Macaca mulatta: one gene and its partners. The protein of the gene in region 1 interacts with the protein of each later gene in a pairwise test. Links are inferred from orthologs where the notes say so. Each region holds a gene or a part of one and is shown on either strand. Other genes may lie near its edges.

Region 1 (3,198 bases):
CCTGTAAGTGACATGTTGGCTATTTGGAGTTTGAAAGTGACAATGTACTATGTTGGCTCTCTGGAGCCTGAACTCAACAGCTGCATATAGGCAATAAGGATTAAGGGGCAGAACTTCCCTGGCACAATATTAAGGAATCCAAAAGCTCAGAGAATTAGGAGCAATACATATATATGTCCTGGTTTATGCCTGTTGTTACGGTCTAATTATTAATACTGCCCTCTTTGCCATCTGCTCAGCCAACCCTTACCCATGCCACCCTGGAGGACCCAGAGAACACACCCTTTGCCAGGGCTTTAAGAAATGCGTTGGTGAAGGAAGCATCAGAACCCTGACAAAGCCCTGAGGTAGCTGTCCCCAGCAGCCTGGAGTTGACAGCAGGGATTCCTAGGATTGGTTGTATTCCCTGATTTCCATGGGAATAACGGTAGTCACAGTGACAGTTCTAGAGGTCAGTGATAGCACTTAACTATTAAAAGACAATCATTTCGTTTTTTAGTGCTTGATATTTATTGAAAATAATGCCAATGCTTTTTCCAGGTAGTATTGAGGAGCTGGGCTGAGTGCTTGTTTGTTTTGTTTTTAGTACTATTTGTCCAAATGCATACATCTGTGGGACTGCTGCAATTTTGAAAGAAAAATGACAGCTGTGTAAAACCAGTGCATAGGAAAAAAGAAATATCAACAATTTGGCTGTCAGGCACACCGCGCCCCTGCAGCAATCTGGTATGGCAGGGGAGGACACTCGGAGTAGGTAGAAAACTAACCAGGCTGAATGACTGGCCTCTTCAGGGGTTGGTGAGCTGTCCAAATCAATGTCCGAAGAGGCAGAGCCAACTCTGGCATTTTCCAGGTTGGTCCTGATCTCGAAAGGCGGTAGTCTGTAGGTGGGATGTGGTGAGTGGATGTGAAGTGGCAGCATAGTTCTCTGGGCAGATGTAAGCCTGGCAGCAGGGCAGGTGGCAGCAGCAGGGCTATGGGTGGTCTGCGCAGTTTGTAACAGGGGCCTGGCCAATAGCTGGGGTTCAGGACACAGTTCAGATTAGCAGGGGAGGGATCCCCGGGATGGCCAGGGTAGATGACACTTCCAAGCACTTCCGAGTGAGTGAGGCTCCAGCCCCAACCCCAGCAGCAGGTAACTGGAGCACTATTCCTGGAACAAAGACAAGCACTACGGAGAAATGAAGAAAGAGCAGACGGGCGCGGGTAGGGAAGGGGACCGGAGGGCAAGGGGGAGAGCACTGGCTCCTGGCGGGGTGAGGGCTGCGGGGAGGGGGTGACGGCGTGCAGGGCCCTCCCCCCGAGGCCCGAGGGCCTAGTAATTATCCTCTTCGTCCTCGTCGTCGTCGTCTTCGTCGTCATCCCAGCCAAAGCACTGTTTCATCTCATCGAGGAAGGCTCGGTAATCACCTAGGATGGGGCTATCCATCTCGATGTAGGGCACCACCCACTCCTCGGCTTCCCCGGTGAGGAGACTGATTAGGAATGCCACCTTCATGGCGTCGTTGCAGAATCGGTTCTCGTTCACGAGCATGTAAGACGCTGTCTGCACGATAAACTCAGGGAGCCGGGAGCTCTCGCCATTAAACGTTTCGGGGAAGGGCACCGGGCAGCTCGGCGGACGTACCTGGCGCAGCAGGCTGGCCCTCTCGCACACCAGCAGCCGCAGCTGTTCCATGAGCTGGCTGTTCTCGATGGTCAGGGCGCGGTGCCGCATCAGGAGCGCGTGCAGCAGCAGCACCAGCTCATCCACCATTGCGAACAGCCTGGAAGGACAGGGCTCGGCTCGGTTCGGCTCGGCCAAGGTGCGCACGGAGGCCTCGCAGGAAGTGCGTGTCCACGGAGACGCTCGATGGCCAGGGGCTGGGGGCGGGGGGCGGTGCGCGCCGGGGTCCGGGAGGCTACGCAAGCTCCGCCCACGAGGCCATTCGGACGGATGGTGCGCCGGCGCGGCGCGGGAGGGGCGTGGCCAGACTGGCGGCCGCGGCTGCGTGGGGGCGTGGCCGGGATGGGAAGGGTTTAGACAAAGAGGGCGTGGCCAGGAAAAGGATGCATTGGGTCGCTGAACCACCGGCTTGTGGTAGGTCTCTAGGCGGGCAGTTAAAGGCTGGGGTAGGCTCCCCTAGCTCCTGGTTGTGGGGCCTGCGTTAGCAGAGGACCTGGCGAGCGCTGAGTTTGGTCTCAGAGAAGGCAAATTTGTTCAAACTGAAAGGATTAGCCACCCTTCTACCTAGGCAACTCTCACAACTCAGTTGTTCCTTCGTGGGTCTGTGGCCACTAGATTCTCTTGGCGTGATGTTTTATTAACACATTTTCTTTCTTGTTTAAATCTCACTCAGAGAAGTATTGACACTGCTGGCTGCACTGTGGGACTCACACTTCCTTTTAGGATCATGAAGACCTTCAGGGGTTCCTGCCTTTCATGAAAAAGGCAGTATTTAAACAGTGACTTCTTTAGTAGGGGAATAATATGGCATACTCCCTTAAAACAAACAAACAAAAAAAAACAAACCTAAGTAGCAGGATATAAAGAAGTTTTGCAAAATCAGCATCCAATAATCAATTGCAGGCATCCCACATATCTTTGATTCTCTATTTCTTGTCCTGCTATTAGTGCCTTTGGCCACTGGGTTTTATTCTGTACTTAAAAATGAACTGTTAAGATGTTTGTGTTTTTAAATAATTTTGTTTTTCTACTTTAAACGGATCCCTAGAGCCGACAGGAATTGTTGGCTCTGCTTTCAAATATATTGCCAATTCAGTCATGACTTGTCATTTCTACCACTGCCACCCTGATCCCCAGCCTTTCTCACCCAGACTGCTGCAACTAATCACTTAGCTTTCACTCTTTTCTTCCTATAGTATATTCTCCATAGAGTAGCCACAGGAATCGGGCGCGGTGGCTCACTCCTGTAATCCTAGCACTTTGGGTGGCCAAGGAGGGCGGATCACGAGTCAGGAGATCGAGATCATCCTGGCTAACAGGGTGAAACCCTGTCTCTACTAAAAATACAAAATATTAGCGGGGCGTGGTGGCAGGTGCCTGTAGTTCCAGCTACTCAGGAGGCTAAGGCAGGAGAATCGCTTGAACCCGGGAGGCGGAGGTGGCAGTGAGCCGAGATAGCGCCAGCGCACTCCTCCAGCCTTGGTTACCAAGCGAGACTCCATCTCTAAAAAAAAAAACAAAAACAAACAAAC
Region 2 (3,764 bases), on another chromosome or scaffold:
TTTTATTTTTAGTAGAGACGGGGTTTTACCATGTTGGTCAGGCTGGTCCCGAACTCTTGACCTCAGGTGATCCACAAACCTTGGCCTCTCAAAATGCTAGGATTACAGGCGTGAGCCACCACACCCGGCCTGAATACAATATTTTTAAAAATCAAAATTAACATAAATAATTCACAATGAATAAAATACAAACGTTTTCAATAAAGACAGGATCTGCAACTGTGCCCTTTGGAGTCATATTGGAGCAAAAGGAAAATCAATGATACTCACCCTGCAGGCTACTTGCATTAGCTCTGTCCTCCTAACTTCTGGGCTAAACAACCCAGCTAAAGGCAACTAGAGGGGGGTTGCTCCCCAACCTTTGCAAGCCCCCTCCTGCTGGCAACTGCTGATCCTGGGACCGGTAATGGGCAGGTCCACCTTTGCCCTCAAATGGTTCTGAACTAGGTCACTGAAGTCTTTTAAATAAATTAACCAAAACCATAATAATAACAAAAAACATTTATTAAGTGCTACGTGTTTTACAAATATTAACTCAAACCTCACATCCATTTTTTAAAGTAAGTGCTCTTGTTATTTCCTTTTACAGGTGACCAAAGTGAGGCATGGGGGTTTAATAAGCTTACCCAAAACTACACAGCAAGGAGGAAGCTGCGTCGGGAATCAAACTCAGTCACTGTGGCCCCCAAGACCATGCTCATAACCATGAGGTAAAAAATGTGCCTCCTCTTCTAATTTCTGTCTCACAGTGGGCCCAGACATGGTTTCAATACAGCTCAGCAGAGCAATGCAGCAAATCCAGGTAGGGACACTAAAATACTCAGAAAAGGACCAACCAAACAACCAAAGCATAACATCAGCAATAGGACAACCAATATGAATCATGAGAACCCTCTGTCTTTATTAAATTCGGGGGAAGAAATCAAGGTCAGGAAATCAAGTGACTGGTGGCGGGGCATAGAAAGGAGTGTCTCCCCCGGTTTCTGCTCTGGCGGGCGGGTGTCAGCGGATGGTGTACTTGTCCCACTTCTTCTCGGGGTCGTAGGCCTCCCAGCGGCTGGCGGGGAAGATGTGCTTGTTCTTCTCGTACCAGCTCCGCAGCACCACCTTGCCCGCGTGCGACTCGTCCTTCTCCATGGTGGCGTCGCTGAGCAGGCGCACGTCGTCGTGCACATCGAAGTTGAAGAGCGGCCCGCTCTTGCCCCTTGCCTTGGCGATGATGAAGTCATAGAAGGTGTGGTAGTGCGGCAGGATGAGGTCCTCCTTGATGAACATGAGCTGCTCCACGCCCGCGGAGCGCAGCTCCAGGAAGTCCTTGCGCAGCCCCTGCAGCGCCTTCTTCAGGAACTGCTGCACCGTGTTGCCCTTGCGCACACGCACCGTGCGCCGGTGGCCCGAGCCGTCCCAGTAGCTGAAGGTGACCTCCATCTCCTCGTCCTTCACTTTCTCGCGCTGCGCCTCCCACTCTTGGCGCAGCTCCTCCCGGAGCCGGTTCTCCTCCTCCTCGCGGTCGCGGTCGGGCAGGAAGCTGGTGTCCACGTCGGGGTTCTTGCCCAGGTTTCCGGCGCGCCTGGCCTCGGCCGCGTCCGCCTGGTCATCGAGGTCGTCGAGCGCGAAGGACAGGCAGGAGATCTTACGCTTGCGCTCGCGCCGGTGCTCCTGCTCCCGCAGCCGCTCCTGCTGCAGCCGCTGCTCCTCCAGCTGCTGGCGCTTGGCCAGCTGCCGCTCGCGCTCCCTGATCAGGGCCTCCTGCCGGGCCTTCATGTCGTTCAGGGTCACCAGGCCCACCGTGCTGGACTTCAGCTCGGCCTCCACGGCATCGTAGTGCGCCGAGAACTTCTTGTCCACCTGCGACTTGAGGATGGTCTCCTCGGCGATGCGCTGCTTCAGCACCTCCATCTGCTCCCGCTGCTTCTCGCGCTTCTTGAGGAGGTGCATGGCACGGCCCGCCTCGCGCATGGTGCCCTTGTACTGCGCCATGGCCCCCGCCTACCCGCTGGGCTCTGCAGCAAAGAGGAAAAACGGGGCAAGTAGAGAGGGGCCCGTGCAACTGCGGGAAATGCAAAGCTCTGCGCCTCCTCACAGGGCTTTCGGCAGTGATGGAAGCGTTTAGGGGCTGGGCCGACCTGCTAGGGTCACCAACCTGACGGTGTCACCACGCACCAATTTCCAGCCTTTTCTTTGACCTCAATAAATGCAAATGCAAATGGCCCCACGTAACTGGTGGCTGCCATGCCTGAGCGCTGCGCTGAATTTGGGGAGCTGCATACAGAGAGGGTTGGGCTACTGAGCGAACCCTTACCTGCCCAAGCACCCTGCCGAGCGGAGACACGCGGGAGTTGACCTCCACGAGAACCACCCACGAGCAAAGGCCCACCCGTCCCGGGCTCTCGCGACAGCCACGGACACAGGAAGTGGAAGCGGTGCGCCCCCTGGCGGGGAGGCGGGCCCTGAGGAGAGCGCCAGGCTCCTGGTAGGGCGGCTGCGGAAACAGGAAGTGGAGGCGGCTCGCCCCCTGGCGGAGAGGCGGGCCCTCGGGAGAGCGCCTGGCTCCTGGCGGGGGCGGTGCTCCTGTGGGGCGGGCCAGCGCGGGGAGGAGCCTGGAGGAGGCGCCTCTGGCCCTGCCCAGCCAATGCTGGCCGGAGCTCCTGTTTTCATGCTGTGGGCAGGGAGGGCCCGCACCAGCGGTGCGTGCTTGCTGAGCCTTCTCGTGCCCAGTTGTAAACACGCAGAAGCAATGTGGGCGCTGCGCAAGCTGCTGTGGTCACCCAGAGAGGCTTGCAACCGCCTCGCAAGGCTGCAGCCCCTGCTCTCCAACCCTCCTCCTCCCGCGTCTCCTCCCGCCTCTGATGCTACCCCACTGTGGCCGTCTCATGAACGTTACCTGCACACCACTGCTTGTAATTCTTTCTTATGGCCCTAACATAACAACCGTTCTTTGATAATGGAACCCTACTCACCCCCCAATTTCATGACAAAACCTGCACTCAGCTTGTTAGACCTCTTCTATGCAGCAGTTTCCCCCCGGGTTCTAAGCTCTAATAACCATGGGAAACTGAGTTAAAGTATAGCAGTGTCTTTACTGTGAGCCTTTAACATGCCAGTTTCCACTGCAACTCTCCAAGGGCAGGGCAGACCAGTTCATGTTGTGTGATCGTTTCTCCCCTGCAGGAGATCTGGGAATACTCGCTGAAACCAGTGCTTCCTGGGACCTAGTTTGGAAAAGCTGGTTGTGAAATACACACTGCAGTTCAGCCTACTCCCGTCTAACAGCAACAATGCCTGTGAGCATAACCTTACCAAGAAGCGTGAATCATATGATAGTTACCTATGGCACCCACGTATCCAGAGGAGAATAGCGGGTGTGAGCACTCATCAAATTGTCCAAGCCAGAAACCTAGGCCTTTTCCTGGAATGACGTTCCTTCACATGAAATCGATTGCAGAAGAGCCTTTCACACTTTCCTTTTTCTCCCATTTCCCACCACTTGCCTTAATCTAGGAAATTAGCATTTTAAAAAAATCTGAAGCCTTCTCATTGTTGCCTCATCACCAGAATACAAGAATATCTTATTTTATTGAGCTCTGGGATACTGTGTGTTTTGTTTTTGTTTTTACAGATTGAAGATTTGTGGCGATGCAGCATCAAGTGCCTACTTTCTCCATTTTTCCAACAGCATGTACTCACTTCGTGTTCCTGTGTCACATTTTGGTAATTCTTGCAATATTTCAGACTTTTTCATTAGGCTATCTGCTATGGTGATC
Region 3 (3,997 bases), about 93 Mb from region 1:
GAGAATGGGGCATAAGGGAAACATTCTCTGACAAGGAAGTCAGGAAGACAGCAATGATACCATATGAAAAAGACCCAGACCGAGTGATCTGAAACATATTCAGCAGTTTTTAGAAGTTGCTGTGAAGGCCGGGTGCAGTGGCTCACGCCTGTAATCCCAGCACTTTGGGAGGCCAACAGGGGCAGATCACTTGCGGTCAGGAGTTCGAGACCAGCCTGGCCAACATGGTGAAACTCCGTCTCTACTAAAAATACAAAAAGTAGCCTGGCATGGTGGCTCACATCTATAATCCCAGCTACTCGGTAGGCTGAGGCAGGAAATGCTTGAACCCTGGAGGCGGAGGTTACAGTGCACTGAGATTGCACCACTGCACTCCAGCCTGGGTGACAGAGCAAGACTCCATCTCAAAACAAAACCAAAACAACGAAAAGTTGCTGTGAAATTCTATGAATATTCATTAAAAGCACAGGATTGGGAGGGGTGGTAAAGGAAACTCACTGTGTCTAAGTTTCATCGCGATGACCAGCTTGAAAGCAGATAGGTTCAAATCTGCTTGTTCTCCTCCTGTAAGAATGGACGAAGAAGCAATTTGAAGACAGCTGGGAACTACAATGCCACAAGCCCCCTCCTAAGTCCCCTAAAGGTAAAATGTTAAAGAACATTATGAGGAAGCCGTAATAATTAGGAAAACTGGGAGAAGCTGAAGCTAGAGCCTCATATGGCTGAGTCCACACAGAGAAGGAAGTGTCATACTACCCAAAGGGAGGAATAGGTCTCAACCTCATCCCGGGTGGAGTCAGTGGCTCAAAGCATCAGATGAGGTCTTTGGTTCTTATTCCTCCACACTATAGTGTTATATTCTAGGTAGAAGACTAGTGCTAAACACCTCCACACTGAGGGGAAAGGGGCACGCAAGGATGGTCTACTTCTATATGGGGTGATAATAGTGCCTCTTTTCCCAAGTAGGGGATTCTATACCTCATCTGCCCTGGGAGAGGTGGTGGGGAAGGGCGTAAATAGAGCCCAGGAGTCTACCCTGGGGAAAAGGGGCCTGAGAACAGGGATTCTTACCTGAGTGTCTATATGGACTGAGATAAGTACAAAATCTTGGAGGAGGGGGTAAAAATCTGTGCCTGCATATGCCTGGGGTCTATACCTCAGTGATTTGGGTTGGGGGGATTGCCATCTGTCCCCCTACTCTGGGGTGCAGAGAAACTGGGGAAACCCACAAAGTGGCTGTGTGCATCTCTGCTGCATGGGAAAAGAACCACAGATCTGTTTATCTCTAGATTGTGGGGATAGGTCCTGCGTCTCTTTACCCTGGAGAGGGCTGAGGTGAGGGATCGATATGCCTGATTCCACAACTATGCAGCTTTGAATAAGCAGGTCTGCACCTTACCCGCAGTGAGCTATTCTGGACCCTTCTATGGGAGGTGGACTGTGACAACTTTCATCTTTTATGCTGGTTGAAGTCAGCAGCACACTAACACTGAAAGAAACAGGGGCTCTGGTTCTCTGCATGGGTGGTGTGTGGAAGGGGCAGGCAATGCAGCTATAAATTAGTAGATCAGCCCTAATACTTGGGGGTGGGGGCGTCTGTGATTCTACCCTGGGTGGAGAGAAACAGATCTGAGCTCCACTACCTTGGGTAAAGGGGAGAGACCGTAGGCACTGCACTGCCGGGTAATCAACGATGTCACTCCCTCTCAACATTACAGGGAGGGAGACCTGCTTATCTGCTCCTGTGGGGTATCTCCCTTGCTACATTTAGTGATGCTAAATCTTTGGGGGAGGTAGGGGAGGTAGGGGGATGATCTGTGTCTACCTCAAAAGGAGAGGAACACATCTGAGCCCCTCTACCCCCATGGCCCCTCAAGGGGCAGACCTGTCTCTTCATGGATTAAGGTCTGTTTCTGTTTGGGTGCTTCGAAAAATTACACATTCGGTAAAACGGGGGCTACGGAAGTAGGGATCAGGTCTGATTCTCCACAATGGGGACTCAATCTAACCTAGGAGGAGGGGGCAATCGGCTTAGTTGTCTATAGGATGAGGCCTGTATCTGCAACCACTTTGGGAACGGGTGAGTTGGGGAGGGACACTGAGCGCTCTAGGTCTACGCGAATGGGGAGGAGGTGCCCTCCCTCTGTATATTAAATGTTTCTAAGCTCCTCTATACTGGTATGGGGGCAGATATATCAAAGCGTCTGTCTGTCCTGAGGAGGTGCCTCGAGGCGGCTGTCTAGAGTCAAGCCAAGGAAATGCCTTAAGTCGGGAGAAGTCTGCGATGCTCAGCTGGGTTGAGGGAGATGTCTCTACACGGTTGGGGTGGATGTCCCCCATTCCTTCGGTGGGTCGACTCCTGTCTATACAGGGTGAATGCAGAATGCAGCCTCACTATCTTGAGGACGATCAACGCTTCACCACACAAGTGAAGTTTGTCCCTCTCTACACCGTGTGTCCCGGGTCTACACCTTTCTAGGTGGGATGGGGCAATGCCCCTCTCCCGGCAAACTCCACTCCGCGAAAAGGCAATTAGGCGCGTCTCCACGTGTGCCGCGAACCCTGCCCCTCTTCCGGGTCCTTCTACCCTGGAAAGGATCCGGCTGTTTACCTCTCTATTCCAGGCTGGCGGGCATCTCTGGTTTCACATCCAATACACGATCCTAACTGCCCGGCCGTCTAGGTGAGAAAAGAGGAGAGTAGTTTCTTACCTACACTTCCGGCGGAGATCTGAGAAGCGAGGGCAACACGACAAGTCGGTTGGGCGAGCAGATGCTCTCGCGCAGCTAGGCTCCGACTTCCGGATCCCAGGCCGGCGGCGCCCGACTCCGCCCACTGTGCGTTCTCCGCGAGGGGACGGGGCTTCTGACTGACAGCTCGCGCCCGCCCGTCCCTTCCTCGCGACCACGCTGGCCCCGCCTCCTGGCTGCCCCGTAGGTAAGGAAAGAGCCGAGGAGGGCAAAGGAGGACGGCCAAGTGACCGGGAAGAAGCGGCGGGTCGACTGGTGCGGCTACATACCCTACTTGCAAGCCAAAATGTTGTCTGCGGGCATTTGTCTGGGGTTAAATATGCGTGCTTCCAAATCTCAGTAACCAGGCAGTCACCACGCCCGAATCACATAAGGGTGGGGGATGGTGTCTTTGTCTGCATGGAAGATGGCGACAGCAGGGTGTGAGAAAATGGCCGCCTAGGTCACATGGCTGGCCGAGTATTCCCCACCTGAAGTGAATTGGTTAGCTGTTCCCAGCCACCTTCCCGGGTCCTTGGGCCCCAGACAATCCCTGAGCACTCCCAGCTCTCTCTGCATACGTTCAGATCTATGGTCAGACCCAACCCGAGCTGGAGCAGAAGCCAGAACTAGAAGCCTCTCCCACCCTTTTGCCTTCTTCCCCTCCTACTCCATCCTTCCCTCAATCCCGGAGCAGCTTCTACAGAAGGGAATGAATTTATATCTCTGGAGTGGGGCAAGTAGGGATTTCTGAAGCCATCTCAAGGAGCTGGCTGGGAAGTGAAGTCTGCCCCCACAAAACAGTAAATATTAGTCTGAAAATGTTTTCTTCCTGATGGTTTAATTCCAGCCCCTCCTCTTCCTCAAGCCTAAACCCTGGGGTGGGGCACAGAGTAGGTGGGACTTTGTGCCTCCGAGGGTGGGTTTGTTTCTCCACTTCAAGCACAGATGGGCTGAAAATGACTCCCTCTGTCCCTTTACCCATAAACAGGACTCACTATCTCTCTACTTCGTTGGAGGGCTTCTAACCTCTCATCCTAGAGACACCTGAAATTCCTCTGGACCCCAAACCAGCCCTGATCACTTGCACCTTTCCCCCTGCATTTGCAATTTTTTTTCTGTTTCTCTAAGACCTAACTTGTCACTTCGTTGAAACCTTCCCTGACTTTCCCAGATAAGTCAGAAACCCAGAGCACCTTACCTGTACAGCTAAGCTAGCACTTACCACAATATTGTAGTTTTTTATGTGGCTGTGTCTCCAGAGGAGG

Evidence for each region.
Region 2: the proteins of LDOC1 (region 1) and FAM50B interact in binary tests that used the Homo sapiens proteins (3 or more experiments, as listed by UniProt). The two-hybrid records come from large-scale screens. The link is inferred for Macaca mulatta from reciprocal best matches to the Homo sapiens genes LDOC1 and FAM50B.
Region 3: the proteins of LDOC1 (region 1) and GNL3L interact in binary tests that used the Homo sapiens proteins (3 or more experiments, as listed by UniProt). The two-hybrid records come from large-scale screens. The link is inferred for Macaca mulatta from reciprocal best matches to the Homo sapiens genes LDOC1 and GNL3L.

What each region holds. Positions count from the first base shown.
Region 1 is NC_133426.1:147,689,497-147,692,694, reverse strand, and holds LDOC1 (protein LDOC1), read right to left. Parts: upstream 1,851-3,198; 5' UTR 1,757-1,850; coding exon 1,316-1,756; 3' UTR 501-1,315; downstream 1-500. UniProt on the Homo sapiens protein: May have an important role in the development and/or progression of some cancers.
Region 2 is NC_133409.1:179,407,847-179,411,610, forward strand, and holds FAM50B (protein FAM50B), read right to left. Parts: upstream 2,396-3,764; 5' UTR 2,303-2,395; intron 2,004-2,302; 5' UTR 1,981-2,003; coding exon 1,003-1,980; 3' UTR 501-1,002; downstream 1-500.
Region 3 is NC_133426.1:54,369,571-54,373,567, reverse strand, and holds the start of GNL3L (guanine nucleotide-binding protein-like 3-like protein), read right to left. Parts: upstream 2,801-3,997; 5' UTR 2,712-2,800; exon of another isoform or gene 2,430-2,711; intron 2,373-2,429; exon of another isoform or gene 998-2,372; intron 565-997; 5' UTR 515-564; coding exon 499-514; intron 1-498.